Schizosaccharomyces pombe: one gene and its partner. Changing the gene in region 1 together with any one later gene gives a genetic interaction. Each region holds a gene or a part of one and is shown in the gene's direction. Other genes may lie near its edges.

Region 1 (15,682 bases):
TCAAACCAATAAGCTACAAAAACAAGAATTCTACAACATTACAAATTTACACGAAGGATAAACGGTAGGGACAAATGATTTGTTTATTGGGGTTAGTTTTTCTTTCCTAAACAACGGTACCAGCATTTGAAGCAATACGAGGCCAGAGGTCAGCACATTCTTTAGCAACGGGACCAGTGATAGCAGAACCCTTCATTTCACCCTTGGGGTTGACAATAACACCAGCGTTATCTTCGAAGTAAAGATAAACACCGTCCTTACGGCGCCAGGCCTTACGTTGACGAACAACAATAGCAGGCATGATCTTCTTACGCAAGTCAGGCTTACCCTTCTTGACGGTAGCAAGAACCATATCTAAAAAAATTTCGTTAGCAAGGCAATCTTAAAATTTTCCGCTCAAACATAAGCAAGGAAAAGAAAAAGAAGAGAAAAAGCACATATAAGAAATTATCAAATACAAAATGACTCTAGCTTTGCTAATGAGCCTTGAAACCAAGGCAAAGAAAGCCAACTTTTTAATCGAGTTCATACGCAACCGTCCAATTTAGGCCATACTCTCACTCGAAATTAAAGCCAAAAACTTTTGTACTTTGCACTTTTAATCAAACATATTACTTACCACCACAACTGGCAGCAGGGAGACGGTTAAGACGAGCACCAGTACCAAAAACGGAGACAATGTAAAGGTTCTTAGCACCGGAGTTATCAGCACAGTTCATAATGGCTTGAACTGGAAGACCCAAGGTCATTCTATACTTAGTACCAGAGGCAGCACCGCGTCCACGAGACATTTTGTGATAATTTTCTGCTGGTGTTTGGTTGTAGAAGGAACGTCGAACCCGCAAGTTTGCACTAATGAGAAATGTTACCTTCAAAATTTTGTGACTGCTCTCTTTTCTCAACACAAAACAAATTCAACATCGTCTTACAGGTAACAGTATTTTTTTCGGGTTTGCAGTAACAATTGAGGAAGGAAGGAAGGAAGGAATAAACAAAAATAGGAAGTATAAGAGACTAGGTGTAATGTTCCAACAGTATGTTACTAGAAGCGGCCGATATATTTTTTACATGATTCAGAAAGCGATAAGCTACAGGTCCGAGAAATTTTGAGCGAAAACGGCCGACGGCTTGGTTGGAATGTGTGGCATATGTAAATGTATTACAGCTAACAACAGAATGGTTGCAAAATTGCATCTTAGATTAAATGATATATTTGATTTCAACGATTTATAATGAACAGCTTGTAATTATCTATAAACAGTACTTTACTCACCATCGTGAAATCAATCCTCCGCTAACTCACACTAAACTAGATCAAATTTAAACATACATATATATATGCTTATTCATACTTCAAAAAATGGATTTATGACTGTAATGAAGGAACAAGTAAAAGTAATTTGCATTACCATAAAGAACGTTTCTTCACAATTCAGTTAATTCTTTGAACTATAACAGTTTACAGAAACTACACACACAACTAACTGTATAGAATATATGAAATGAAATGGAATTGCTATATGATGATGATGATCAGCTATGAACAAGACATGCGTGACTTTTTAGAAACCATCAGGCGCACAAAAAAAACTAACGTTTAGTATAAAAGAGTAGCAAAATGACCAGACTAATGATGATGAAAAGATAGATTTCAAATGATTTGCCAAATATATGAAAAGGAATGAAAAAAAGCAGTATAAACAGAGGGCGCAAGTTAAATGATAAAAAAAAACAGACTAAAAATATAATGCGCCCCTCATATGTAGCGATGAGTAGATGAACTAGATAGATATTTTTTTCGAAATATGTTTCAATGGTTCTCTGTGGTAATTCGAAGGTTGAAGCATAGTAGGCCAACTCGGTTGTCAGCTTCTTTAAGCAATAAGCATAAGAGCGGCAATACCCATGCAAGCAGCAACGGAGAGTTGTGCAACGCCGTTGGAAACAGCACCGCTATAAGAAGTGTAGCTAGAGGAGCTAGAGTTACCGGCGGCAGAGCTGGAAGCACTAGTGGTAGAAGTGGAAAATCCGCTAATAGTGGAGTTGGAGCTAGCACTTACGGTCTTGGCATCGGCAGAAGAGATGGATCCACTGGAGCTGGCAGAAGAGGAGCTAACAGAGGAAGAAGCGGAAGAAGAGATGCTTGAGGTGATGCTAGAGGAGATAGGGGTAGAAGAGCTGCTAGAGGAAGAAGAAGAGGTAGTAGAGCTAGAAGAGGGGGTGGCAGTGCTAGAGCTAGTGGAGGAAGCAGAGGTAGAAGAGTAAATACCACCGCTAATGGTGCTAGCAGCCAAAGTGGAATCACTACCTTCAAAGTCGAATTGCTCAGATTGAGCCAAACTACCTTGGTTTTGAGAAGTAGCTCCGTTGAAGTAAATTTGCCATCCGTCAGTGGGGAGATCAGAAGAGATGGAGATGTCGGTATCCAAAGATCCAGCGGAGGATTGGACAGTTCCGAGATTAAAGTTTTGGTTGGGATAATGAGCATTGTTCACCAACATAATAACCATCTCCTCGGGATCAGTGCTGACAGAAGACCAGGTGACGGTGTTCACTTGGCCGGATTGCCAGGTGGTGTCACGAGTAGGAGAAGTGACAGAGACGGCATAAGCAGCAAGTGCATTAGCAAGAAAGAATAAAGTGGTACCGACACGAGCAAGCATTTTCACGATTACTTAAAAGAAATGAGAAAGAAAAGATGAAAATTAATGAAATTAATTTGTTTATATTAAATGAAATAAAAAGAAAGATGTTTAAATGAAAACCGCTCGCTCAATTAAACAGCAAAAGCTTGTACAAAGAACGATACAAGTACTTAGTGTATGGTTAAAACTGAACCTCCCATGGAGCAGCCTTCCATATATATACTGGAAAACTGTCTCTTCACGTCATGGCAATTTTTGGAGGAGGCTGAGAAGGGTAACCGTTACCACACCGACCAACCCCCTCAATGGTAACGGATAATATTTTTAGATGCGGGCAGTGAGAAAGTAAACACACCACCAAAATGTAAACAAACAAAGACGCGTATACCACAACAAAATGCGTACCTTAGTAATAGGAATAAATCTTTTTCAATAATTAAACAGAGGTACTTTGTTACATGTTTTTTATTACGATTTCCCAATTATAGGATGCATCTGGCTCGTGTCTTTGTATTATGGGAGTGTATATGTCTTTCTGGCCAACTATCGGACTGTGTGACTTTATTTACGAAGTAGTGAAATCACAGTTTCAGCCATCTTCATCAAGCATTCTTCATTCAATTAGCTTACTTTTTACTAAATCTTATCCCATCTGCCCTTCCCGCCCGCCCTATGTCGTCAATTCTACTCTTGTCTTCCATATACTCACTGTCAAAAAGTCATAATCGCGCATATGGAGGTGGCTGGCAGATGAGGTTATGTCGAGCAAAACAGGGAAACATACATCAATTCCAAACCGATTCGGTCAGCTAGCCAGCAATGGAAATAAGCGGAATAGGAAATAATCCGCAATGATCCCGTTTTCAAAAAATTGAATGCGTATTCCAGTTCGGATGCAATGCGTCTGAAAACTTTCATTCAGTTCTTCCACCTCCCGACCATATGGCAAAACCAATACCGACGATGACTAAAGAATAGTAAAAAACGACCAGCCAACCTACCAAAAAAGACAGACGATTTGCAATTCAAGCTTCTTTCCATTTTTTTACTCTTTTGTGATTTGCATTTTCTTATACCGAGAGTATTAGCAACACATAATTGCCTTTACCGCACACTTCATTATTAACAATTCCTTTAACGTGACACAAGAAACTGCGTAGTAAGATTTATTGCTTGTCTCAGTATATAGTTAAAAATCAGGTTAAATAGCTTATTAATGCGTTTTGCCTGATTTCATATCACCTTTTGCCTGGGAATTCACATCCAATCGTGACCTTTTTTTTTACCAACATTTCGTCTAATGACATGATTGCTGCCTTGCTCAGCAACCTGCTTGGGCCAACGAAGTTACCTGTTTCCACCTAGTTTCGTAAATGAGCTAGCTGTAAAAGACAAGCGATAATGAGGCGGATACTTAATTGGTCTTATTCATCATCAACAGGTGTGCTAGCACTCAAATAAAACTTTTCTAAAAGGGCACATGTCTTAGTCCATAAATACTTTTACTTTCCCTTTTTCTCTTTGTAAATAAGATAGCCCATTAAAACTCGCTAAATCCCATTATTTTGCATCCTAATGAATGGCTCGTTAAGTTTATCGTCACGTTCGTCTTATGATCCCACTCTAATATGTTGCAATTAATAAATAACAGAATACGTTACAGAGCGCTAATAGATGAAATGCTAGTGTAAACAGATGAAGAAAATCCACCTTTCCATCTCATCAAATAGTTTGCTTTGTTTCTAACAGCTGTGTTCTCTTCAGCAGCTAATGTAAATGTTTTAATTCTCTTGTACCGATATTTTTAAAGCGTATATACCCACTCTCATCGAAAAACATTCACATGTTGCTGTGCTACTGCTTAAGTCTCTTCGCTCACTACTCTAACATTGCTCTATCATATTGAAAAGCACGTCAATATTATTACGATTATGTGGCACAAAGAAAGTAGTTTCATTTGTTATTTCCTTTTTTAAATTCGAAACAATGCATCAAAAGTTCATAATTCATTAAAGTTGAATCAATTAGGCATACATGGCTCCGTCATAATATGGAACTGGAGTTTCAGATGAACCAGTGTTAACATCTTCTTCCGGTAAACCAGCGAAAAGAGAAGGATCGCCAAGGGCCATACGCTTTGAGGTATACATTTGGGCAACAATACCTGCTGCAACAGAAATGGATTGTTCCACCCATTCTGTTACCCATTCATTTGGTAATATGGCGTTAGAACCGAAAAGCTTAATGTATCGAGGGTCCACAGCCCATCGTTGCCATTCAAGCGGCAAAGGTTGAGAAGTGGTAGAAAACTCCAAGTTATGATTAGTATCGTTAAGGTGAATAAGAAAGCATAGTTGCTCATCATCCGAAACTTCTTTATTTTTGATAGTAAATGCTTGGATTACGAGAAGTAAGTGAGTTACTCGAACCATAGGAGATTCTGAAGCGTCTTCATCATCACCAGCTCCAACATTTTCTTGCTTGTTTTCTTTGTTCATCTTTTTAGCCTCCGTAATAGGTTCAGCTAAATTGGCTTTTGCAAGTTTTTTCGCTTCCAAATAACCATTACATAGACCAAAGTCTTCATAGACATCGTTCGTTCGGGGTCGAACCTTAGCTTCCTTATCCAATAACACCGTTAATTCACCTCCTTCTACTTGGAACATCACCTGGTAACATGTCAGTAAAATTATCCCATAAAACTTAATTATGATTATGCATTGACCTATCTGTCTTTTGAAAACCAAGTAATCGGTGACAGCATAAAAGAAAGCACAAATATTAGTGCTATGTCCAAAGCGTAAACGTAAATACGCAACTTACTTTTTCAAAGCTTTCATACACTATACGGTCCAGGTGTGCAAATCCTGCTAGATCATGAAATACCGTCACCTGCAAAACTTCATGATCATGAATAGGAGGTGCCACCACGTTCAGAACGTTGTGAATTGTATTGCTTAATGTGGGAAGGGCCTTACTCCTTATTCCATTGCTCAAATCTCCTAAAAGACATTTGTTAGCAAAAGGAACTCTTTCTTCCAAAAGAGAAATTCTACTTACCAAGCTTGTTCAAGTCCACCATATTACGCACGTTAATATCCCAGTTGGCATTCTCTTCAAACCCTTTTATGGAGCGAACTCGTTGTTCAGCTGATCGAACAGCAGCGGACGCAGTGGACCAAAACCCACCAAGCCAGTTGCTCTGTTTGGGTGTTTCTACATGTTCTTGGAACTCCTGGGACTTGTTGATTTCGTTAACCGTTTTTGGAGTAGCGGATTCTGTATTTTTATTTATAGTTGTCTGAGCCGCTTGAGACGGTTGATTTGATGCATCATGTTGCTGACGTTCATTCGAGGTAGCTGCGACAGATTCATTTTCCTCGTTGGCCTCTTCTATAGGATTTTTCTCATTCTTTTCTTCGTCATTCTCAAGCTGATCTAAAAATTCCAGCAGTTCTTTTTCGTCCTGCACTTCAGATGGGGCACCAATTTTGGAGTCGTCGTTGTTGAACTCTTTGGAAGTGGGATCTGCTTCCATGCCAAGTTGATCCAATGATGCCATTAATGTTTCGACATCATCAGTTTGCTCTTTGGTCTCTGCCATACTGTTTAGCAGGAATATCACACGGTCTTGTCTAGTTGATGAGTTTCGTAGGCTGAAAAAGCCACATTAAGGACTCCTATAATATAACGGTAAAAATCCTCGTTAAGAAAATTTTATGCAATTATTATTATATTATTACATTATGAAAGAATTTAATAATTTCGTTTTAAAAGTAAAGTCGTGAACTAAGGTATGTGAATTTTAAAAAAGTTTATCTAAAAAATAACATAAAAAGTTTACTGTACCATGTTTGTTCTTATGATTCTCTCACCAATATTGATCGAACGACATTCTGCGAGTCAATTATGCAACAGTGGTCTTGATCGTGCAACTGATGCGTGAATTTTATAGGCATAATGCTTACGAGAAACGAGAAAGCAACAGATATTTATTATCCGTGCGCTGTAACTTACCTACACATTGTTTAAAAAAAGCAATAGCTTAAACAATGGTCAGCAACTTCCTATCCGTTTTGGCCAAATAATACACGCCGTCCAACGAACATTATTTAATACATTTATTTATCATCAATTTCACTTCAACATCATCGACAAAACACTACAGAACCTTCATGCCTAAACTATTGGAATATATACAGGATCAAGCGAATATTGCACAAAATTCTATCTACTCAAATCAAAACGACTAGCAGTCATTGATAGATTCTTTAAAAACAACGTGACAAAGAGCAAATGGCTTTTTTTGGCACACACTGACAAAAAAATGCGTAAATCATTAATGGTATTATCTAACAGCATTAAACGTCCTTGTCATTAAAAGACAGGCCTGGTAATATTTCAATCTCTTCTTTCAAGCTAAAAAGAATCAAGAGATCGCGGTTACACAGTACGTAAATAAGTACAATATCGAAACTTTTGGGAAGCCATGTCATATGCAAAGTTGAAAATAACCATATTCCAATTTCACCCCTTGAAAATTTTAATTTAAACAACGGTTTCATTAAAAGAATGCATAACTAGTTTCCATCTTTTTGAACATCTCAGTCCTAAGAATAGTTGTTGAGCATCATATAATTCGTATGGTTCTATCATAAAGAAAATTTAAGGTAACAATAAATTGAAAGTATTGGAATAAATCCCAACTATTAGAACATATTCGTCACTGAGTAAGCGTCAATTGATTAACAGAGTGGATAGTTTTAAAAAGATTGAAGATAAATTTTAAGGTAAATAACTCATAAATAGTAAACATTCAAAACAGGAAGAATACAACAAAGTAGTAGTGTCGAAAAATCAGCATTACTGAATCGCATTTAAAAGCAACTGATTTGGATAAAAAAGAAAAGTAATCGAAGTTAGACGTCTGTGTTACACTTTTTGTCGATGTCGACGATTATACAAAGTTGCCTTTGACAAGTTGAGTTGGAAACCTTTGAACTTATTCCGCGACCTTTGAGATGATTGTTGTTGCGATTGAGCAGGTTGGCGGGAAGCAAGGCTAGGATCGTTTTCACCTGACAGGTTGACTCGTTTCATCGAATGTTCAACGCTCTTGGTACCATCATCGTAATCATCATTCTCCTCCATCAAATCATCCATGTCACCCATAAAATTCATGATTCCTTGGTTACCACGTTGACCACGTTTCCTAATCTTCTCTTGTTCCATTCGGTGGGCTGCATACGAAATATTAAATACTTCTCTCAACGAGTTAACACCAGGAGTACGAGCGGCTGAACCGGCAGCAGCAACGTCTTCGGGCTCAAGAAAGTCATAGGTAAATGGGTTTTCGCGTTGAGCAGTGTTAGGAGCATCGGTGGCAGGAAAGGTAGGTTCCCGAGAGCCCGAAATCCATGGATGGGCTAAAAATTGATGAATGTCGTAACGAGATTCCGGGTCGACAGTTAATAAATGACTGATTAAATCCTTTGCACTCTTTGAAATATCATCCCACCAAGGAGAAAGGAATGAATACTCGCCTCGTGAGACTTTTTTCGTCAACAAAGAAATGCTTTCATCATAAAACGGGGGGAATCCACAAAGAATAGTGTACAATACGCATCCCAAAGCCCACATATCAACTCCCTTAGAATACCTTTCATCACGGACAATCTCAGGGGCTGTATAGCCCATAGTGCCACACGGAGTTTGAGTGTGAGAGTCCCAAACCACTTTGCTTAGACCGAAATCTGCGAGACGGATTCGACCGATGGTGCCAGCGCCGACACCGGGAATAAACTCGCCCTCGTCTACCTTATCGGGATCGTCTCCGGCACGGTATTTACGAACCCGAGAGGGCACAAAGTCGATAGAATCAAAAAGCAGGTTTTCAGGTTTGATATCACGATGAACGACACCGCAGTCTTCATGCAGATATCGAATGGCATGTGCAACTTGAGTTATGACATGACGAGACAAATCTTCGGAAAAATAGGTGAGGCGAACGATTTGATGAAATAATTCACCACCGTCAGCCAGCTCTAAAACCAGGTAATAGTATTCCGGGGTTTGGATGAATTCCAAGAGTTGAATGATGTTAGGATGTTTAACGCGACGCATGATTTGAACCTCTTTTAAAATGTTGTGCGATTCAACGCCTTGTCTTTTTCTGGGATCGCGAGGATCGGTGTTTGGTTGAGCGCGCTGGACAACTTTAATGGCGACTTTTTCACCCGTTCTGTTGTGAATAGCTTTGTATACATTACTAAAAGCACCATCGCCCATCTTTTGTAATAGAGTGTATTGTTCAAGGCCTTTATATACAGGAAATTGTTGGCCGGAATGTTCCTCAACAATGGCCTTTGCAACTAAAGCCTCGATGGCTTTATCATATTCTTTTTCGTTGGTAGGTTGTTTACATTTGGAGCGCGAATATTCGGAAGGATTCTCGTGCACCGTCTCGTGGAAATGTGCATGCCGGGACTTGGGTTTCGAGGTGGGATTTTGAGTGGAGTCCGCTACTTGCTGAGTTATGCCAAAATTTTCTTCAGCATCCGAAAATATGCCAGCAGTATAGCCATGGTCCCGTTCAGCATAGGAATCGGGATTCACTTCGCGAACGTTCACCTTGCCCTCGTCCTCGATATTTTGCTGAATACTCTAAATAAATTAAATTAGCATAACAAAAAACAAAAAAAAAGTAAAAGGGAAATGTGTTTATGGATAAAGGTGGTTGGAAGAAAACAAAACCAAAACACATTGTATGCGTAAAAGAAGTGCGGTGAGATTGATGTTTCCTACTGAGAAGAGGGATGGAATGGAAAGGATGGGAGTATAATCAATAGGCATGGTTATGGTTATGCTTTTGGTAATTCAAACATACTTTAAAACGCATTATTTGAACAGACGGCGACAAACGGAATCAATCAAGAGATATGGGTATTATTAGAAAAATAACTAATTAAAGATCTCTAGTCGTTTGGTTTTACGTCTGGAAATGTGCCAACACATTTGCTTCCAAATTCTTGACACTGATCTATCCGCATCCGTACTCTTGAACTAAACCAAGATAACAGAGAGACAAGATGATAGAAAAAAGAAAAAAAAAAGAAAAAAAAAAGGAATTTCGCACAAAAAGAATGAAAAAAAAGATACACTTGCGCATCCGCCAAATTTAACTTAACGACTTGAAAGCGAAACCCGTCACCTGAATGATGTAGAGAATGAAGTCAAGCATACAATCACCGCCTAGCAGAAGGGGAAGGAGACGTGATATAGAATAAGGTAAAGATGAAATCAAAACTGATCATCAAGGAAAGAGCAAATCTCCGTATGAAAGCACCTGACGTAGAAGAAAAAAAAAATCCAAAAAAAAGTCCAAAAAACTAGTCACAGACTTGGAAAGAAAATAAAAATGAAATAAAAACACAAAAGAAAAAAATCGCTTCTTGCTTTTCTTTTTTTTTTATTAGAATTCAGTAATCTTCCAAGACTCGATATTGTCCAACCGTCCTAATTCATTCGTCCACTTATCTCTCCTAAGATCCCTATCCCCAACCCAGTCCAAAGGTAGGAAGTGTAACGTCAACAACACTCTCCAAACGCAAAGTCTTTCCGATACTCATCTCCAGCCTCTAATATCCGCGTTTACATCCACAATCCAAACAAAAATCCGACTCAAACATTACCCACACGAACGAGTGAGCAAACATTTACAAACGTACATTTTTAAGAATCATATAACTTTCCAATACTGGGTACCCTTCCAATAGTCTCCAAAAAATTACTAAATTAGCTTTTCAATTGATTTTCACAGAAATATATTGTTGGTGTCCAACAATCGTGGTATGCGAAAGACAAGAAGTTTATGTCGGCGGATTTGCCTACTTTGACGTCCTTCGTTAACGTACGTCATTGGCATCATGCGAGCCGCTCGTTCCAACTCTGTATTCGCTTACGATGGTGGTGACGTTGCGCATCCATGACTCGATGAGGTTTTGCGGTAAGCGACACGGTGCAATGGCGAGGTAAAAGTGTAAAGTGGGTGGAGGTCAGCATGACATCAGAGACAAAATAGGAGGATATTGGTGTAGGAAGGGAAGAGAAGAGGATATCGTTTATAAAGAGGTTGTTGGAGGAATGCTAGGGGGGGAGAGAGAGAGAGAGAAAGAAAAAAAAAGATAGAAGTATGGATGGCATGGATGTGTTCTATCTTGTTTTCGATTGTATACTATGAAAGATGGATAGAAAGAATTTATTCGAGATCTAATATTTTTTCAATCTCACTCATCCATCCTCTTGCAAACCTTTTTTTCTTTTTCATTCACCCATGAATTTCATCTGATACAGCAAATCAACCAATCTTTCCTTCCTCCCCTCCATTGCTCATTTCACTTTTGAGTGGCTTCTGCACTGTTTGGCGAAATAAATTTCCATGTTATTCCATTTTGAGTTGATTAGTTGAGTGATTTTCTTCTGTCGTGAAAATTTTCAACAAACTTTATCTGTCTATCTCATTATCCTTGTTGATGCAGCGATCCATCTCATTTCTGTTACTTGCAATTGATTTCTTATAATTAGCAAAATTTTCATAAGCCGACTGGCTGGCTTCATTACATATCCATCATCTTGGTGTACAATGAGATCGACGCAATTGACCTGATAAAAACGCTGGATGAAAAATCGCCCATTCCTCATTGTTGAATGAATGAGATGAGATGATGTTTTGGCTGTTGTCGCCTGACTTCAAGATCTAAAATTCATTTGAAAAATCAAAAGTTCTTCTTATAGGGCACGGCAATTGCGCCCTTTCCATACAATGCAAGCCCTTAAGTATAGAGATGGCGAGCTTGTTTATCATCATGGATAAACGCTTCGCCGTCTTTGCCTCAAGTGACAAGCCAAATAATTGTAGTAGAAAGAACATGTTTTTTTTAAAAAATATCATTGTACTGTCGAATTACCTTTACCTTTTGTATAAGGCATGGATTGTTTGTACTACCATATCTCTTTGCTGCGATTTTCCTCTGTTCAATTTTCTCTTTATAGCGATTCCATACTTTACTGAGATTCTCTACAATGATTCCTCTTTACTATGGTTTCTTTTCGTATCACTGTGTTTTATTACGTTATCATTCCAATCTTTGGAAATATAGCTGACAGCTTGCACAGGCTGAGGAATCGCTTCTTCAATAGTCATAATGAATATAAAGTTAATGTTGATTTTACCTGAATATGTTTATATAAGAAAGGCCTACCTAAGAATGAACAGTTCTCTTATTACTGTATTCATGTTTATACTTATAATTTGGATATACTGGCTAAGACGATATTGGCGGATAGGAAAGGCAGAGTCGTATTAGAATAAGTGAAAAAAGCGTGCGACAGCTAAAGAAATCGCATAGGAAATTTTTTAGAAGGGTTTTTAAAGGTAAGTTTTGTTCCTTCTGAACCGCAGTTCAACCAAATTTCCCATCCATCATGTTAGCTTGAATTGGGATTTTAATCAGTATAACAAAAATCGTAGCAACTGGCTTAATTTAGATATACAAATTAACACCAACTTTTTTATCATGAAATATGATGTTGTTTTTACTGCTTCTTTTTTCCTATAGCATGGATTGAAACTGTTCTAACAACGCTGGGTTGACCGTCGATAAATATTGGTTTTGAAAATTCTCCATTCCACCATTAGCGTCTCTGCAAAACATAAATACAGAAATAAAAAATGAGCGAGAGTTAACACTATGAACGGGATCCTTTAAAAGCAGCTAAAATAAAAGTTAGTATTAATAAAACAAAAGCAAACAAATAAAACTTTTTCATTTACACAATAAACATATTTCTAGCCTCTCATTCACTTACCTGCTTTCGTCGAGTCATTTCTTCTGAGGTTTCATCGAGATAAAACCCAACAGCCGAGTAGTCATCATTTTTATAGTAAATCGTTGCATCTCCATTCGCATCCTCTTCCACCTCACTCAAAACGCTGAACCATAAATTCATGATAGAATCCAACACTGCCAAAACGTCGGGATGATTTGTTCGCAGCAGAGAGCTGAGGGCGAGTGTGTTCAGTTTTCGATCTTTCGAGTGGTTTATGTGGTCGTTTAATAAAATCCAGTTGCCGATAAGCATAGCTATGTTGATATTTTTCGTTTGACAAACCTTCAATATTAATTCCGGCTCGCGCAATGAGATGCGTGACACCACCAATAAATATTCAATCAACACCTGAGGGTGTTTATCATTTGTTGCAATGGAGAGTAGGAGCCTCGACAGAAGTGAACTGTTCAGCAATGATTCGTAAATCATATCCATCGGAGTAGTTTCAATGAGTAGACATACAGTTTTACATAGTGCTTGCAAAGTTTCGTTTTTTACATCGTCTAATAAGTCGTTCAACTTTTCAAATATGGTAAATGAGTAATCCTTCATCAAAACGGTATTGTCTAAAAGTTGATAACTGCTTACTATCATTAGAACGAATGGAAGGGTAGACGTGGCCTGTGAAAGATGGTACAATAAATGAGGGATAAGTAGGGTAAAAGTTTCTGGCAATTTTTGTATGTACATGAGAAAGGTGCTCCACAATTCCATTGCATCCGCTTCGAAAATAACATGCTCTGGAGATTCCGGATTTACACAATATTCTATTACCGTATATAAAAAAGTTGAAAATTCAAAAGATTTTGCTTTGATCGCCTAGAAATTAGTATAAGAAAACAGTCTGTTGTATATAGCCAAACACTTACATTGACGAATTGGTGCATAACTGCCAAAACTCGTGCTCGCAGCAGCGGTTCCTTTTTCCAACCATCCCATAATTGAGAAAGGAGAGAAGCAATGGTACTTTCCATGGGAGCAACATGTTCTCCGGCCCTTGCCAATAAAGTACCAAGTAAAGACAAGATGGAAGTCCTAGCATCGACTGATTCAAACGCTTTAAACAAAGAAAGAACATGGACAAACAAATTTTCTTTGATAGAAAGAAATGAATTCTCAGAAAAATTCCAATCATCTAAAACGGTTTTGAAAGCATCTATAGTTGTTAAAATGACTACGGCGTCATTGCAAGGATCTGTTAAGTTGAGAAATGAGCAATACAATTTGTAAATAACCTCAAGGAGTTGTTCTGAAGAAGAATCTTCAATCCATTGCGATAAAAAAATGGCAATTCTTCGTCGATACACTCTAGATATCCCAATATCATTAATGGAAGCCATGTTGGGAACTGCGGCTTCCTGTAGCCATTTTGCAAAAGGAAAAATACTCTTCAATTGGGTATATCCAACTCCGAAAGAACTGATCAAAGTGTCTTGTTGAACTGCTTGTGTTAACGTCTTTGGACACTCAAAAACGCTGTAAATCATATCCTTGAACGGCGAAACGATAATATCTCCATATGCATCAAAGAAGCATTTTAAAAGTTTTTCGGCACAAGGCTATATTATCGTTAATGATAAGCTTATCAAAAAACCCATATTCATAATCAACTTACCCTAACGTTAAACTCAACATCCTGGGTCGATTGTTCAAGGACCCATTGTTGTGGGGAATCCGTCCATTCTTCAAAATCTTCTTCTTTTAATATTAGTAGTTTGGTGATGAGTAAATCCAAAAGATTGTTTATACGATTATCTACGAGAAATGAGTTGTAAAGAACTTGAGCCGTTTCGGGGTGCGACGATTTAGTATTGCAGAATTCTTGGATGACAAGGATAAATACTCGTAAGCTCATAATCACAAGTTTTTCAAAATTTTTTGAGCTCTCTTCAAACTTTTCTTTGTATGAAGAAAGATGAGAACTGATTTGACCCAAAAAATCATAGTGCAATGAAATGTAATCAATAGTAGCTGGAAACTTAGTCAAGCATGGACTATAGAAAGAAAAATCAAAGAATGGCTTATTGAATAAGAAAGCATGTGCAAAAGCCATTTCTAAGCACTCCCCAACTACTATCGGAGACCGCGAGGATTGAAGCATTGTACCAAGCATACTCAAAAGTTTTCGCTGATGAACAGCACAAAAAGCTAACATACGCTCACTAAATTCACTTTCACTAGGATTTTGGAAACCAAAAACAACCAACCGTCTACATGCCTTAAGCGTGTATCGAGATATTTGCATATAAGACAACAAAGTAGAATCTTTAATTTCCTTAGAAGATTCAAGTATCATCATCCAGCTTGATAAACTAGAATGTAAAATGGGTTGAAGAATCGTAAGCAATTCTGGAGCAAGTTTGTAAAAAATCTGTCGCGATCTCAAAAGACGATTCCCAGCCATTGCTTTGATAATGTGATGAAGAGTAATTAGTAATCTTAAAGCCACATCGTAATCTCCTGTACCCAATGACTGCTGTAACTTGCCTAAAAGATCGTGAAAAAGAGAAGGCCATTCGGTGGGATAATCCAATCTAGCAATTCGAGAGACGACCAGCGCATTTTGAATAGATAAGAGGTTTTCAGATTTTATAGATCCTAAAAGAGCATTACATCGTATAAAGTCACGTTCTTCTGGAAGTAAAGACCTGCCAAACAATCATACATTAGCAATTACGAAAGTCTAACAGTACAGGTTGATTCTTCGAGACTACTCCTAACTTACATTTTTGTATTTTTCCTCCATATTATATCTATGGAGTTCCGTAGTTGAATGATAGCAATCCATCGTAAACTCATGTCATTTTGTTTATCCAAAAATATACTGTACAGCTTGCCAAAGAAACCTGGTTCCTTTTTCCAGTTGTTTAAATGCCCTTCAGCATCCTTAACAGCAATGGGATCTTGACTTACAGCACGTTGTAGTTGATATACTACAGGATCTACTTGCATTCTCCAAAAAAGTCTGAGACTTGGTTTTTGCTTGAGCAAGGCTGTACCAGTCGCACTCAGTATATGTGAGCCAAAGGAAGGAATTATAGGAAACACTTAGAAAGCGCTTCGATTTCGGAAATGGTGAAATAATTTTCAAATTAAAAACGTTGCGTTCAGTTTTTTTGGTATTTTAGTATCAGAAGATTTTGGGTTTT
Region 2 (16,780 bases), 440 kb from region 1:
AACGAGGTTAAGTGTATCATCTACAAAACTTGAAAAATCATCGACCCTGTATGCGTTAATATATCATCTAACATTAAGATTCCTTCATGATTCTAAAAAAGCGTAAAGAAATACTTACGAGGTATATACATTGGCAGCTTTATTAAACTTTCATCAAAGGTTTATAAAAAATGACCACCATGCTCTTCATAATTTCGCCCGTTGCTCCTTCCGATATCAGGGAAATAGATCGTCTTTTGTTGAATTGCTTAGCGTAAAGATGCATAAGCTTCATCATATATCCGTATCGTTTTGATCGTCTAATTACAGTCGGATCGGTAGGGTAATCTTCGCTATCTAATGCAGCTTTCCAGGCAGTACGCTCAGCGTAGACACGGCGAATAAGGTTGTCAGGCAACTTTGGAGGTACATCATCAGAGATTAAAATGAAATAAAGGTAATCATGTCGTTTCATTTGTTTCTTTTCCAAAACCTCTCGGGCTGCCTTACAAGGATTTTCTACTTGTTCTTGTATTTTTGTGAGGATCTCGGGGCTAACGATACGAGCCTCATATCTAGAAATGAGTTTGTGAATAGCTCGAACGTTCTCGTTCAGACTGATACTCAACAATCTTTGAAACAAAGACTTCATGCCAAAAGGCTGTGCTAATAAAGTATCCAAGATACGTTTCATAACAGAGAGGGGATTTGAAAATCGCATTATATTTTTTATAACTGTATAGGGAAAAAGCTGGTGCATTTTCTTGATTTGTAAATACGTCTCCAACGATTTTTCCTTCCCTATAAACGTATCATAAATGGTAGAGGCAAGATTGACTCTAGCCCATTCAATTGTTTTTTGTAAAGAAGGGGAAAGTTCACTTATACTGTTTTTTTCTTTCAGTTCAGTGAATAAAGTGGTGAAACCATCTAAAAAGTGTTAGTCACTTAAAAAAATAAAAACGCAATAATTATTTTTTTGTTATCCTTGTCTCACAATTACATACTATTTTCAGTCAAGGAACGTTTAAACTCCTCCATATAAACATCAAGCTCTTTTGCTCTTTGGGAAGCAATTTCAACAAACTTTTGTTGCTCAAGTTGACGGATGACATCTAACTCTTGGCGAAAGTTAATGTCAGTCAGCTCCGATGCAGTTAAAGTTACGGGATCGTCGGTTAAAAAGCTTAAGACTTCTTCAGTTAAGTGAAGTTCATCATCATTCAGAATGTTCTTTATATATTGCCTCAATTCAATTCGCATACGCTCCTGACGAAGAACATGTTGGGAATCTGATTGTGGATCGTTCGTATCAGAGGAACGTGAAGGTAAAGGACTCAACGTTGAGTCTTCAGAAGAATTCAAATATGTGTCATGGTCATCTTTGGGAGGAAGACGAGGGACATAGGCGTTCGGATACGATTTCAGCAACAAATGATGGAAATGAGAAAAGTCGGAATATTTTCTAGCTATGAAAAAAGTATTTTCTTCATAAGACACTTTAATCAAGTATTCCTGGAATATTCGTTAGCGGCTTATGAAGAAGCAAAAGCAAATTTTCGTAAAAACGGTAATCGAAAAATGTGATTATTAAAACAATTAGATTCGTTTCCTTTTTTAGAACTGCAAAGAACTTACATATACTCGCTTTGTACGCAACATCTTTGCCTGCGTTGACTGTCTGACACCCAAAACATAAGCTTCCAAAATATTTGGTTTTTGTTGGAGTTCAGATTTATGTAAGTCCTTCTCCAATTTTGGGGTATCTAGCAATTCAATGTTAATGTTCTTTTCATCCTGGATACTATGAAATGCTCGACTCATGAGTAGAGTAAGCATGTTTTGGAACTTGAGCAACCATTTGTGCAAATGCGTAGCATCGGAATCATCCGGGAGAACAGAGACATTGCTTTTTGAGAGAGATTTTAATAGCTAACAAAGAATATCTGGTTAGTAACAATCCGCATACTTTTAAAACATTTCCATCCATTATTACGTACATTGCGGAAGTTCACATTCCAAAGTTGGTTTTGGCTATCAGGATCCAAAAACGGAAACGTTAAAATAAATCTTTTAAAGATGAAGCGTAAAACGGGAATTTGGGATTTTTCATAGGGGATCACGGATTTTCCTTTTTCCACAAATGGACTACCGAGATGATCCAAATTGGTGGGTTCGCTCACGAAGTTCAATTCGTCTGCGATCAAAAGAGAGAAAAGTTCCTTCTTCAAATAGTGTCTTTTTAAAGCATCTATCTCTTCTGGAGATGCTGTATCCATGTCGTAAATATCAATTATCCGCTACACGGAATGCTGTAAGAGGGGAGTACCAGTTCGTAAATAATATATGTAATATTTATTTCACCTAGGTCTATACCGACATTTAAGGGACACTCGTTAAAATATTTTTTGACTAGTATACGTTAAAAAGTATAAGATGTGAAGGCTAAGTTAAAATAAGCGAAAGTACGCTAATTAGGTTTATGGTTTCTACACTACCACTCCTTATGTTAAAATGTTAAAAAGGTGCAGAAATCGAAAAAGGTAGGCAAAAGGAAACATTCATTGATGAGAAAACATTCCTTAATAAATAAATTTAATTATGTGATTTTTTGTATACTGCTTGCTCCATTTTTTTTTATATAACTTTGCGGGAGAATGGACCGCTTTCCGTATTCTTTGTTTACACCTCTGAATGAGCAAGGAAATAGTTTAAGATTTCTGTTCTCTGAAAAATTTAGAAACTTTCAAAAAAAAAAAAAAGAAGTAAAATAATAGGAAGTCCAAATTCATATATCTTGTTATATTAGACTTTTTAAAAGAGTAACACAAACTGAATAAAAAATAAACAACATATCATTTACTTTTGTAAACAAGAGATCAAGCGATTCCTAAAAAACGGAAATATCATATTCCAATTAATAATTATTTTTAATTGTAACTACTGTGCTTTTTTATTTTTATTTTTTAAAAACTCAAGACAAGTCCGTCTGCTTTCACTCGATTGAAAAATCAATGATATAGAGATCAGCTGCAATCGCAAAATATTTCCTTTTAAATAGCTTATGTATTCCCACAAGTTGAAATTCTTCTATTATACTTTTCTGTACTTCCCAAGCGATGATGGTATTATTTATAAGTCTGTGTTTTCTAGACATAATAAAAAAAAAGCGCAGCCAATCTAACACGCTTCTGCATAGCAATTGATCCTCTTTCAAACAAAGTGATATCTTTAAACGTTTGCGTGCTAATTTTGCAACCATTTTTTTTTTATAAATGTTGATGTTTACCCCATGTATTTACCCATTTTTTGTGCCCATACATCTATAAATTCCATAGGCATCATACTGTCTATTTATAATCCAGCAGCTAAAACAATTGTTCTTAAATTGTTTATTTTACTTCACATTGTCGATTCAACTTGGCTACTTTACAGCACTCCACCCTAATTCATTTCATTGCTATGAAATCTTCGCCCCGAATACTTATCTAGTATTATACATGCTGTACAAGCATAACTTTATGTTCTGAAGCAGAGAAAAAATTTTTTATTTGTTGACGAATTATGCGGCCAGACTAATGAACCACAATACTAATACTAAGTTGTAAGCCACTTAACTCCTAACCACCACCAAGTACTAAAAATCGTTCTTTTTTTCTAGCTTGATTGTATAGATACTGAGTGGAAATTCTATCATTATTAAAAGAATTGTTTTTGTTTGTTTTAGAATTATCCAGCTGGGTATTTCATACTCTTCGTTTTTCTTTCCTTTGTTTTTTCAGTGACTCAGTTATTTATAGCGCGTTTATTTGTTTTATATAAAAAGTTGTCGAATTAGCATACTTACTGCTCATACTTCTAATGATCCTATCCCTCTATTGAATTTACTGTATGCTGGAGACTCCGTCAGTTGTATATGAAGCATATAAAAAACGAACGCGAAGAAGTCTTCTTGGAAGATGACCAAGCTCAACATTCCCAGGCAGAGCTTCTCAGCTCAAAAGATGAGAACCTTCAACCTTCCATTCCTTTATCTCCCGTTGCATTCGAGCTTGACTTTTCCGGAAACTTTCAATTTATTAGCGATAACTCATCCGAACTTTTGGATATACCCAAAGACAAGATCATTGGGCATTCTGTAGCAGAAGTCCTTGGTACCGATGGATACAATGCGTTTATGAGAGCCGTTAACTGTCTTTTGAAGGATGACTCTCATAGCTATCATGTTCGGTTCCAACATTCAATTAACGCTAATCATGCCAATCAAAACTATTACACCGCTAAAGGAGATCTTCCAAGCGATGAAAAAATTACAAAACCTTTTGATGCTATTGGAATTCTCATTCGTCATCCTGGGTCCGCAATTCCCGCACACACGATGTGGGTTGTGAACCCAGCTACCAATTCCCTTGGTAGTGTATCTCCTCTTGTAACTAAATTATTGGATGTCATCGGTTTCGGTGCCAGTCTTTTAGACAAATATTTATGCGACTTAAGGACTTCCTATCACAAGCATAACAGCTTAGATGCGTTACCACTTCCGACCCCAGAGTTTTGCCAAATATGTGAACGTGAAATACAATCATGGTTTTTCGAGTTGCACTCCAAGTTTTGTCTTAGCACAAGCACCTATGAATCTGTTGTACAGGCTGCTCAGGATTCCTTGCTTTATTTCCGGAGTACCTTACTGGAAATTCAGGAAGGAATGCAGAAAGATTCAAGTCTTGTTCCCGTATACAAAAATGAACCGCTTATTGTTGATGCGGATGATTATTTTTTTACCGATGAGAATAAACAAACATTATCACTATGTTCATTCTTAAGTCAGGTTATGTACTACTTGGAAGTGGCTATCGACATTACTATTCCTCCAGTGAAAATCATTGTGAATTTTGATAAAGTGGATTCTCTTCGTGTTCAGTCTCCGCGGTCAGAAAAAGCTACTATCGAGCTTGATAATTATAACCCGTCCTTAGAAAATTGCTCATCCGCAGTGATTGCTCTCTGGGAGGACATAAAGACAGCAGTTGATACTAAAATTACTGGAGTTTTGCGTCTTCGAAATGCAATCTATTACTCTGAACGTATTCGTTTGGAAATTGACCATCATGTTCAAGAAATTATTGATGATGTCGTATCGAATTTGGTAACAAATCATTCCTCTACTTCTTTAGGACACTTGGAATCTAAATTAGCGCCTTCAATTACCTTTCCTGATGCCTGCGATGCACTCGAGGCAGAGGAATGCATTACTCGACCCGGGAGCGCTACAAATACACCACAATCTGATAGAAGCCTTGATATCAATGATCTTTCAAGATCCTCTTCTTATTCAAGGCATCTTAGCCATGTTTCTCTTAGTAATCCAGATTTTGCAATTGGTTCGCCTATGAGTCAAGATAGTTCAAATTATTCTTCTCCGTTACATAGAAGAAAAGCATCTGATTCCAATTTCTCCGATCCTCGTTTTGATGATTTAAAGTATCTTTCTCCAAATTCGAGTCCAAGATTTGTGGCTTCTGATGGTCCGAATCGCCCAGCATCTAACGGTCGTTCGTCTTTGTTTTCTCGTGGAAGGGCCAGCAACCTTGGAGATGTGGGACTACGTCTACCATCACCATCACCTCGTATACATACGATTGTACCCAACTCTGCCCCTGAGCATCCTTCTATCAATGACTACAAAATATTGAAGCCGATTAGCAAAGGTGCGTTTGGCTCTGTGTATCTGGCTCAGAAAAGAACTACTGGTGATTATTTTGCTATTAAAATATTAAAAAAATCGAATATGATAGCAAAGAATCAAGTTATCAATGTTAGAGCTGAACGTGCTATTCTCATGTCTCAAGGCGAATCACCATTTGTTGCCAAGTTGTATTACACCTTTCAATCAAAAGACTACCTTTATTTAGTTATGGAATATCTTAACGGCGGAGACTGTGGTTCACTTCTGAAAACCATGGGTGTATTAGATTTGGATTGGATTCGAACTTATATAGCTGAAACTGTTCTTTGTCTAGGTGATCTTCATGATCGTGGAATAATTCATCGTGATATCAAACCTGAAAACCTACTCATATCACAGAACGGACATTTAAAGCTCACAGATTTCGGTTTGAGTCGGGTCGGTTATATGAAAAGACACAGGAGAAAACAGAGTTCTTCAATTCCTGTACTTGACTTGAGAGATCGCTCTAGTGCTATATCTGATTTATCACTTAGTACTGCTTCATCGGTACTAGAAGCACAGTCTTTGATAACACCAGAGCGTCCCAAACGGCCTTCATTAAATGAAAAGCTTCTTTCTTTAGATGGTACTAGTATTCGACTTGCTGGACAAAGTTTCAATTACGAGAACAGCGCTGAGGATTCTCCCACTGCAACAAATACTCCTACTTCTCAGGTAGACGAATCCAACATTTTCCGTAGCACAGATTCGCCTCGAGTTCAACCGTTTTTTGAAAATAAAGATCCCTCTAAGCGATTTATTGGTACACCTGATTATATAGCACCCGAAGTTATCCTTGGAAATCCTGGTATTAAAGCGAGTGATTGGTGGTCCTTGGGTTGCGTTGTTTTTGAGTTTTTATTTGGATACCCCCCGTTTAACGCGGAAACGCCTGACCAAGTCTTTCAAAATATTCTTGCTAGGCGCATCAATTGGCCTGCCGAAGTTTTTACTGCTGAAAGTAGTGTTGCTTTGGATTTGATTGATCGCCTTCTATGTATGAATCCGGCAAATAGGCTTGGTGCCAACGGAGTAGAGGAGATAAAAGCACATCCTTTTTTCAAGTCTGTTAACTGGGATACTATCTTAGAAGAGGACCCTCCATTTGTACCAAAACCTTTTTCTCCTGAAGACACTGTGTATTTTGATTCTAGGGGACTTAAAGGATTTGATTTCAGTGAATATTACAATCAACCTACGGTGACAGAAGCACAAAAATTGGAAGAAGAAAGACCTGCATCCTCTATACCCCAGCATGTGTCTGGTAATCGTAAAGGTCGTTTACGAAGCAATACGATTAGTACTCCTGAATTTGGAAGTTTTACATATCGAAACTTGGATTTTCTTAATAAAGCTAACCGGAATACTATTCAAAAACTTAGAAAGGAGCATATGGCTGTTAAATCAGCAAAGACTTCTGTTGATGACACCTTTAGTCAGTACATGAGTAGGTTTAAAGCCAAACTTTCAACTTCTCAAAGTGTAGGTCCTGTTAAGTCTTCGCGTCGAGCTTCAATGGCTGACTATGAGGCATCCACCACGACAAGAGTGCAAGATATTACTACAGATTCAATTGATTCAATTGATGATTTTGATTCTCTGAAAGAAGGTCGGATGCTTTCATTTTTTGATAATTTAGCGTTAGAAGATCATAAGGGTGTTTCAAGCACTATGTCAGCATCACAATCGCAATCAAGCATGCACACGGCGTTACCAGACGTTACAGAGGGTACCTCATCAGATGAACATACTACAATTCAGAAGGGCAGGATTGACAACTTACAAGCTCAGAGTTTAACTCATAAGCGAAATGCCATTTCTTATCCAGGGTTATTTCAGCTTGACCGTTTACAAATGATAATTCCTAAGGATGAAATTGAACTTGCGGAGATCTTGAAAAAAATTTTTCCAAAGTTAACGCTTGTTCTAATAGATGATCCATGGAGCATTCTTAAGAAGCTTTTGCAGAACGAGCAATTTAACGTCGTATTCTTACATTTTGGAAATGATAAAGTATCTTCTTCCCGATTAATGTATTCAGTGCGAACCAGTGCTACTATAAATTCAAGGGTGCCGTTTGTATACATTTGCGAGGACGAGACTTGCATTCCGACTGATTTACAATCTGATGGAGTTTTGTTGAAACCCATTACTTGTGAGAACATTGAAAGCTGTCTACGAAAGTTAGATGTTTGGCACTCTTGAATTGAATCTTACATACTAAATGCCAGATCAGCTTCATATACTGTTTCTTTCCTTTCATTTTATAACTTCCCATGCACATTCTTTAAAAAATTAACTATTTTTTCTTTTGACCAATGTGGCATTTTTATCCTTCTTTAAGTATTTATTTCAGTGCGTTGCATTCCTTAACTTGAACCCGCTGTTTATTCATGGACATTTGCATTTTTTATAAGTTTTCACACGTGAAGAACATTATGAAAATATTTGTATACTAATTTACCATAACCGTTGTTTTACTTTATACGGATCTCGTTTTGTTTACCCTCATTTCTTTAGTTTTTTTTTACTTATTTAAATCTACAAATAAAATATATCATTCGGAAATAACAAGCTCAAACTGTTTGATAAATACAATACTATAATAAAGTATCTTCTTTTTTATACATATATATATATATATTGATGATTTTCGGGTACTGAGAATGCAAACGAATAAGGCAGTAAACCATGTTTCACTATTCCATACTTCATTTATTTTTTTCAGGTCTCATAAAAAGGATAGTGCACCACAGTGTGGCAAATAATATTACTAAAATAAAGAATTTCTTGTGCCAATGACAAATGCTGGGTTTTACTTTTAGCAAGCATTGTAATTTTATGGCAGAATGGCAAAGTTGTCTGTAAATGACTTGAATGACTTCTTAAGTCCTGGAGCTGTTTGCATAAAGCCTGCCCAAGTTAAAAAGCAGGAATCCAAGGTAAGATGCATTGGAAGAGCAGCAAGTATAACATCTGTCACATCTCTATTTTTTTTGTTCAACCAACTAACATGATAGAATGACATTCGTATAGACGGGGATGCTTACTATGAAGTAACTAAGGATACTGGAGAGACCTCCGAACTTGGGATTGCTAGTATTTCACTGAACGATTGTTTGGCCTGCAGTGGGTGTATTACATCTGCAGAAACAGTTCTGGTTAATCTTCAATCCTACCAAGAAGTTTTAAAGCATTTGGAATCTCGAAAATCTCAAGAAATTTTATATGTCTCGCTTAGTCCACAAGTGAGGGCGAATCTTGCAGCTTATTATGGTCTCTCCTTACAGGAAATACAGGCAGTGTTAGAAATGGTGTTCATTGGAAAACTTGGGTTTCATGCTATTTTAGATACTAATGCTTCTCGTGAAATTGTGTTGCAACAATGCGCTCAAGAGTTTTGCAATTCTTGGTTACAAAGCCGTGCTCATAAAAATCAAAACCAGGTTACCAATTCCGTCGTAAACGAACATCCACTCATTCCTCATTCAACTTCACAAATTTCAGGGGTTCATTCTAATACTTCATCAAATTCGGGCATTAACGAGAATGCTGTTCTTCCCATTTTGTCTTCATCTTGTCCAGGGTGGATATGTTACGTTGAGAAAACTCACTCTAACTTGATCCCTAATTTGTCTCGTGTTCGTTCACCTCAGCAGGCGTGCGGTCGTATTTTGAAGGATTGGGCCGTACAACAATTCAGTATGCAACGTAATGATGTTTGGCATTTGAGTCTCATGCCTTGCTTTGACAAGAAGCTTGAGGCCAGTCGTGATGAATTTTCAGAGAACGGTGTTCGAGACGTAGATTCTGTGTTGACGCCAAAGGAATTGGTAGAAATGTTTAAATTTTTACGAATTGATCCAATTGAGTTAACTAAAAACCCCATACCGTTTCAGCAGTCTACAGATGCAATCCCTTTTTGGTATCCTCGAATAACATATGAAGAACAGATAGGTTCTAGTTCAGGAGGTTACATGGGCTATGTTTTATCATACGCTGCTAAAATGCTTTTTGGTATTGACGATGTTGGACCTTATGTATCAATGAATAACAAAAATGGCGATTTGACTGAGTATACTTTACGACACCCCGAAACGAATGAACAGTTAATATCTATGGCAACGTGCTATGGATTCCGAAACATTCAAAATTTGGTACGCCGCGTACATGGAAATTCCTCGGTTCGAAAAGGCCGGGTTTTATTAAAAAAACGAGTAAGAAGCAATGCTCAAAATCCTACAGAAGAGCCTTCACGTTATGACTATGTAGAAGTCATGGCATGTCCAGGTGGTTGTATCAATGGAGGCGGTCAGCTTCCATTCCCCTCTGTCGAAAGAATTGTCTCAGCCAGAGATTGGATGCAACAAGTTGAGAAACTGTACTATGAACCCGGTACCAGGTCTGTAGATCAATCCGCAGTATCCTATATGTTAGAACAATGGGTCAAAGATCCTACGCTGACACCCAAGTTTCTTCACACATCCTATCGTGCAGTGCAAACAGATAATGATAATCCCTTATTGCTGGCCAATAAGTGGTAAAAATAATTAAAAGAAGGAAAATTTATGGGTTTTTTATAATTGTTTATTGGGAATTTAATAGGTTTTGGCTATTTTGGGGAAATAAAAATTTGAAATTAATTGATTAGTGAAGAAGTTATACGCGAATCTTTAGTTGGCTAATATGTGATTCTTCATACATGCTTGATAGGATCCTAGAAGTACTTTACTTCTGAATATTTCATGTGAATTCATTTCTCATTGTATTTTTTAGATTCGCAAGATTTCAATTCATTACCGATATCCGGTATATTATCAAATAATTTACATAACAATAATGATAACTCCATTATCATCCTACACATTTAAAGAATACACTGGTAAAAACAATCATTTCCTCTCAATAGTACTTTTGAATGTGTTTTAAAAATCTAAGTGTATCCATTTCGTAAATAGAGAGTTTCACTTTGAATATTATTTCTATTTTCTTTTAGGGATTTCTAGTTGAAAAAAAAAAGCGCTTCATATAATTTTAATCAATGAAGAAGATAAATTGTTTTAAATACGAAATCTCATACAACTTCATCCTTCAGTAAATTTTTTACCAAAGTTGCTCTTGGTCGCACATCTTTAAAGGTAGCCTCAGCTATAAGACCATAAACAAAAAATCTATAGAGGCATTGTAAAGAGATAAGCAACTTCGAAGTTTTATACACCAAACACAAGTAGTTATCAGAGTTTTCCATTTAGTTTAATTTAATTTGGCTAACTATATATTACACTTAGGGAGTATTCAGCTGTGCGACAAATTTCCACAATTACGCATATCTAGTTTATCACTCCTTAAGTTGGTATTTGTGATTTTGGACGAGTTGTTGCTTAACTTGTATTGCGAAACTTACTATAATACAGTATTCGTTGACCTTAATACCTCAACTGCCTTTGCTACGCTAAGGATTCATCACATACCGATGACACTTCAGTAGTTCTTTAAATTTATTTAAGACGTACAAGCCAGTGCATAATCTAGGTTTACAAAACTCTTTGTTATAGCTCCTTAGACACGGGAACTAAGCAAAGGAGGTATACAGTCTGGATACACGGGAACTCTTAAACAAAGTGTAAAATAATGTATCTCTTAATAACTCTGTCGAAATGGTTATATATCACATTGTGAGCTTGTTACAATACCTTATAGCTTTGCATTTAGTTCAGTGCAGTTTCTTATGTTTGTGTTTTGGGTTTGTAAAGTATGATAAAACGAGAGAGATATTTTGACAAACTGATGAAATTCAAGATCTACTGTATCAGCTTATAACTGGAATAGAAAGAAAGAATATAAAGGCTACAATGTAGCCATGTGCGGTCAACGTTTAGACTGCCGATCTTATGACCTAACTAAAGCGATCGCTATTCAGATCCATTTCTGCTTGTAGGGATGAGACTTTGTAGAATAGCAAATCTGTAAATTAACAAATCTTCAAATTTTGTTGCATCAAGCAATAACTTCTACTCTATCTGTTTCTATCAATGGTTTTTCATATCTCGAATTGAAATATTTCCAATGTGAATCAACTAAAAACATCGCACCCCATTACCTTATTGAATATTCGAATTTGGGGATTTCCTAGAAGAGTTGGACATTAAATGACGTTAATAGAAGTAAAAAAAAAATAGAAAGTCGTTTCATCATGGACTTGTCGATGATTTGCATTACCAGACAATTTTACATCCGTGAGTTCGCAGCAATCGGGTTGGTATCCGTTTATAAATTTAGCCGTTGATATTCATCCCGTCATTTAAAGCTGAGCCTAGGTTGATCTAAATATTCCATTATAGAATCGCTGAAATATTTATTGAATAGGGCATAAATGGTACCCATGAATGCTAATGATAACTAGGCAATCCAACTCCAACTGGCATCTAAAGACTTAGTAATATGACCACCATTTCATAATCTCACGGTGCTACATATAGAAAATCGTTAACATCATAGATGGCATCTTCGGAGTTCCTTCTAGTCCACGCCGAATTGCGGATCAAGGTAAGCAGATCATGAGAAACGTGGGTCATGCGAAAAGTGAGTCTACAAGTGAGTTCATCCTCAAAAGCCTATATATATTATATATATAGCACTTGGGAATAAATGAATAAAGGTTGCAACTTTAGTGATTGAATCGGTAAATCCCGTTAAAACAAACAATCAGTGATTCATCCTTCTTTAGTGTGATCTGTGTAGGTAAGCAAGCAATTTACAAATGCCTAGAAAGTTGGCAAGGCCGGTTTGTGTTTGGCAAGGAAATGAGCAAAAACGTCTGTCTATTCCTAAAACGGACGGTGGGTAAGCAAAATCCCAACTTGAAAATTTGAATTGGGATTTTTTTATTTCAATGGAAAAAGATAGGTTAAATCATAAAAAAGAACATGATATTATTTTCTTGGAAATATGTCGAAATCCTGTCTCATCCCAACCTTTTCGACAAAACTAGGTGTCCTGATGGAAATATAGTTTAAGCTCATCGCTTGCCGAACCGCTCCATCAAATGCTTAATTTGCTTTTATTGACATTGTAGCTCGACGGACTCTCTAGATATCTAAATATTTTTCGTTGAACTTACTAGATTGGGAATTGACAATTGAAAGCTCTTTAATTGATTACTTTCATTGTCTTGATTTTTTTCATTCTCAGAAAATTTCAAAAAATTCAGACTTTAGAAACTCGCTGTTTGTTAATCACTCTCTTGCTTTTTTTGGATTCAGAGAAAATTGAAAAATTCGAACTTTTTTTAAAAACGAATCATTGACCGTATTCTATCCTTTTATCCTTTATTAAACCAACCTTGCTTTTTTAATTTTTATTTTATTTTTTTTTAAACATGAAATTATCTTCCTTTGGATTATTTCTCGCTCTCCAGCTTTTGCCGGCCTTGGGCCTTCCTTCTCGTATCGATGAAGTAGACGTTTCAGACCCAGAACTAATCGGATTATTGAAACCCGATAACGTTGATAAGCCAGCAAACTCTATACCCCTTTCCAAGCGTAGCACAAGCCCATCGTATGCGCCTTATACTGTTGCTTGCCCTAGTGGCTCTCTGCTTCGACCTGCCTCCGATGGCCTTAGTACTGGTGAACAAGAATTTGTTGACAAACGTGTCTCAAAGGTTAACAGTGCATTGGAAAGCTTTATTTCAAAAACCGGCTTAAAAATCGATACAAAAAGTGTGCTGAATGACACAGATGGCCCTCGTTTGGGAATTGCAATCTCTGGCGGTGGATTTCCTGCCATGTTAACGGGAGCCGGCGCTATTAATGCATTTGATGCTAGAAATGGTAACACTACGTCTCTTGGTGGTATTCTTCAATCTTCCATGTACCTTACTGGTCTTTCTGGTGGCTCTTGGCTTGTGGGATCTGTTGCGGTTAACAACTTTGCCAATATTACTTTCTTGCACGACGACGTTTGGAACCTGGACCACAGTCTCTTCGCTCCCTATGACGACGCTTTTGAGAACTTTTATATTTACCAAGAGTGGTTTGAGCAAGTTCTGCAAAAGAAGAATGCTGGATTCAATGTCTCCATTACTGACCTTTGGGGCCGTGCTTTGGCTCTTAAGCTTGTCAATCCTTTGACTGGAGGTGCTAATACTACATTCTCTAGTGTAACAAATGAAACGTGGTTCCAGGATGGTGAATTTCCCTTTCCCATCATCATTGCTGATAATGTCATAGAGGGTGAAACCGTAATCCCTTTGAACGACACTGTCTTTGAATTTACACCCATCGAATTTGGTACTTGGGACACTGGGGTGGAATCATTTATACCCATGGAGTATACAGGTACACACCTTATTAATGGCATTCCTCTTAATGAATCCTGTGTGCGTAATTTCGACAACGCTGGTTTCCTCATGGGTACCTCTTCAAATGTTTTTAGCGGTATCCTTCCTGCGACAAATGCATCACTCACCGCTAGTAATAATACCTTTAACAATGCTGTCCTTAGTTTCCTCGAAATGCTTGCCGAAGATCAATTGGATGTAGGTCTTTATCCCAACCCTTACCAAGGTTATGGAAATGCTTCCAATACAACCACTACCAATCCCTTGGAGCCGTATCCCATTATTGAATTAATAGACGGTGGCTCAGATAGTGAAGGTATTCCCTTTTGGCCCTTGCTTCATCCACAAAGAGACGTAGATGTTATTTTTGCGATTGACGGGGGTTATCAAAGCGCAACGAGTGGATGGCCAGATGGATCGTCCCTAGTTTCTACATATGAAAGAGTTTTAGCCACTAACTCCTCTGGCGTTCGTGGTTTCCCATATATTCCTGATACCAACACATTTTTGGCTCTTGGTTTGAACACTCATCCAACTTTCTTCGGTTGCGACGGTAGAAACACCACAGCCGGAAACCATACCGTTAATGACGATACTCCTCCTCTTGTAGTTTACTTCCCCAACTATCCTTGGACTATGTATGCAAATGTCACTACCTACACTGTTCAACTGGAAGATACTTTGTCCAGTGGAATGATTGAAAATGCCGCTGTTGCTGCTACCCAAAATAACAGTGATTCATTTGCTGTCTGCGTTGCATGCGCTCTCGTTCAACGTTCCTTGGAACGCAAAAACATGTCGACTCCAAGTCAATGTGCTTCTTGCTTTAATCAATACTGTTGGAATGGAACAATTGCAAGCACGACCGTTACTACATATGCACCTACAGTTCTGTCAGCCAAGATTTAGTATGCAACGCTCACGACAATCCATTTTGTTCGATCTTTTCCATGGTAGCATAGAGCGTAAAGCATTGAAACACTAATGTTCATATATTCACTAATCTAAGAACCAGCAAAAGTCGGCTCTTTACTTATTGCTCATAAACAACGAGAAGGAAGATATAGTGAATAAATATAGGAATGAAAAAAGCTTCAAGAAGCCATTAACACCATCGAATTTGAATTCCTAAGCTCTAAATGACACTAATTTATGTAACCTTTGCAGAAATGTTTCAACTCAAATACTGTGTCAGCAGTAGTCCAGCACGCTACGATATACTACGTTGCGTAGCACTATATGTCATGCTAAAATATACATAACATTAGTTTATTGATGATTGTAGCTGTTTGTCCATCTATCTACACAAGTTACACATTGGTAGCAACTAGAGAAAAATATAAATAGAGCTACCACTGAACCTCATTCCTCAGTTCAGTTATTGGCTATATCGGTGACCGATACTACTAGACTTTTTATAACAATAAATATAATATTATTAGTTAACAAAGCGCATACCGCTATGTTGTAAATCCCTAGAAATCTCGCCGCAGTGCTATATATCGTTAAACCAGATACCAAACTGCGTAGCTGACATTATAATTATACTACAACGTTTGCTTCTCAAAAACGTTTTAAGGAAAGCTAAGTTAGGGTAAATAAAAAGGGCAGTGACAAAATAAATGTGTCAGAAGCAATTGCATTTTGAAAATGAGTTTTCGAATTTTAACTTTTACCTACTATTATTAAAGAGAGAAGTCTTCTTTGAAAGAAATTGCTCGTTTTTTATGTTGAACGGCTGAAATTGGGCTCCAGAGTGAAAATTCTTGATTTCGCTGTTTCGTTTGTCGCAATTATAGCAATTAATTCGCGCATGTATTTTATTAAATAAAGAATGATCTTGAAAAAATGAAGAATAATTACACTTCCTTGAAAAGTCCTATAGATGAAGGAGATGAATCGAAGACAGGACATGAAATCGATTTGGAAAAAGGGCTACTTCCAGAATATGATTCAGAGGAAGAGGGCGCACTGCCTCCATACTCGGGTAAGAATTGTAAATAATAAGAAAGGAATTACTCAATTGAAATTGAAGCTTGCCATCGTAGTCAAATTGCATGCTTTGGTCATTGTTTACAGTTGGCCATGCAATGCACACATTTTAATACATGTTCTTTCTTTACTAAAGTCTTTCAATCATATTAATTTAAACAGATCACGCACGTGTAAGCAATTCTCCTAACACACATAGAGAAAACAATCCTTCCAGGTCGACAGATAATTCTTCCCCTTTCTTGATAAAACTGCTAATATCATTCACACCAATCTATGTACTGAATGTACTCGCAATTTGTTATCTAAAGTATAAGGACGCTTTCTTTAAAAATTATGGTGCAGCGGAATGGACATTATTTGGATTTTGGTGTCTTGTTTGCACTTTGGCTTTAATATTCTTGACTTGTAAGTGAGACAATGGGGTTATTCTTACCTTCAGTCACTAACTCATTAGACTTCTATGAAACTTGGACCAAGGCAGTTAAAGTAACTGCGGTCGGCTTGTACAACTCAAGGAAAAAATGGGTAGTAATAATCTGGTTATTATGGGTAGTCATTTGTTTTGTACTCTTTGGTTGCATCAAATTCGGTAACCTGAACTTAGACAAGGCTCTCATCTGTTCTACATGCAGTATTTCAGCTGCTTTACTTTTATTTTTATTATATGGTATGTGAAGTTATGGAGTTACCAATGCTGACCGCTAACACGCAGTTCGTCTTCCATTCTGGACACTCAA

Evidence for each region.
Region 2: mutations in mug150 (region 1) and plb5 together harm fitness more than expected from each alone (negative genetic interaction), as found in Schizosaccharomyces pombe (one large-scale study listed by BioGRID).

The regions. Positions count from the first base shown.
Region 1 is NC_003421.2:1,296,761-1,312,442, reverse strand, and holds mug150 (protein mug150), read left to right. Parts: upstream 1-11,488; coding exon 11,489-11,803; 3' UTR 11,804-12,256; coding exon of another isoform or gene 12,257-12,418; 3' UTR 12,419-12,512; downstream 12,513-15,682. Other genes in the region: rpl2302 (60S ribosomal protein L23), read right to left, coding at 107-354, 620-791; conserved fungal cell surface protein, Kre9/Knh1 family, Knh2, read right to left, coding at 1,875-2,663; SPOM_SPCC1322.09 (uncharacterized protein), read right to left, coding at 4,670-5,314, 5,469-5,647, 5,706-6,249; MAPK-activated protein kinase Srk1, read right to left, coding at 7,578-9,308, 9,532-9,543; karyopherin/importin beta family nuclear import signal receptor Kap113, read right to left, coding at 12,257-12,418, 12,513-13,352, 13,403-14,092, 14,149-15,181, 15,259-15,485. UniProt on the Schizosaccharomyces pombe protein: Has a role in meiosis.
Region 2 is NC_003421.2:1,739,765-1,756,544, reverse strand, and holds plb5 (phospholipase Plb5), read left to right. Parts: upstream 1-13,085; coding exon 13,086-14,957; 3' UTR 14,958-15,343; downstream 15,344-16,780. Other genes in the region: SPOM_SPCC1450.12 (uncharacterized protein), read right to left, coding at 176-909, 987-1,494, 1,618-1,911, 1,980-2,258; serine/threonine protein kinase Cek1, read left to right, coding at 3,896-7,912; nar1 (iron hydrogenase), read left to right, coding at 8,557-8,649, 8,728-10,251; wtf antidote-like meiotic drive suppressor Wtf16, read left to right, coding at 15,897-16,035, 16,203-16,448, 16,498-16,710, 16,756-16,780.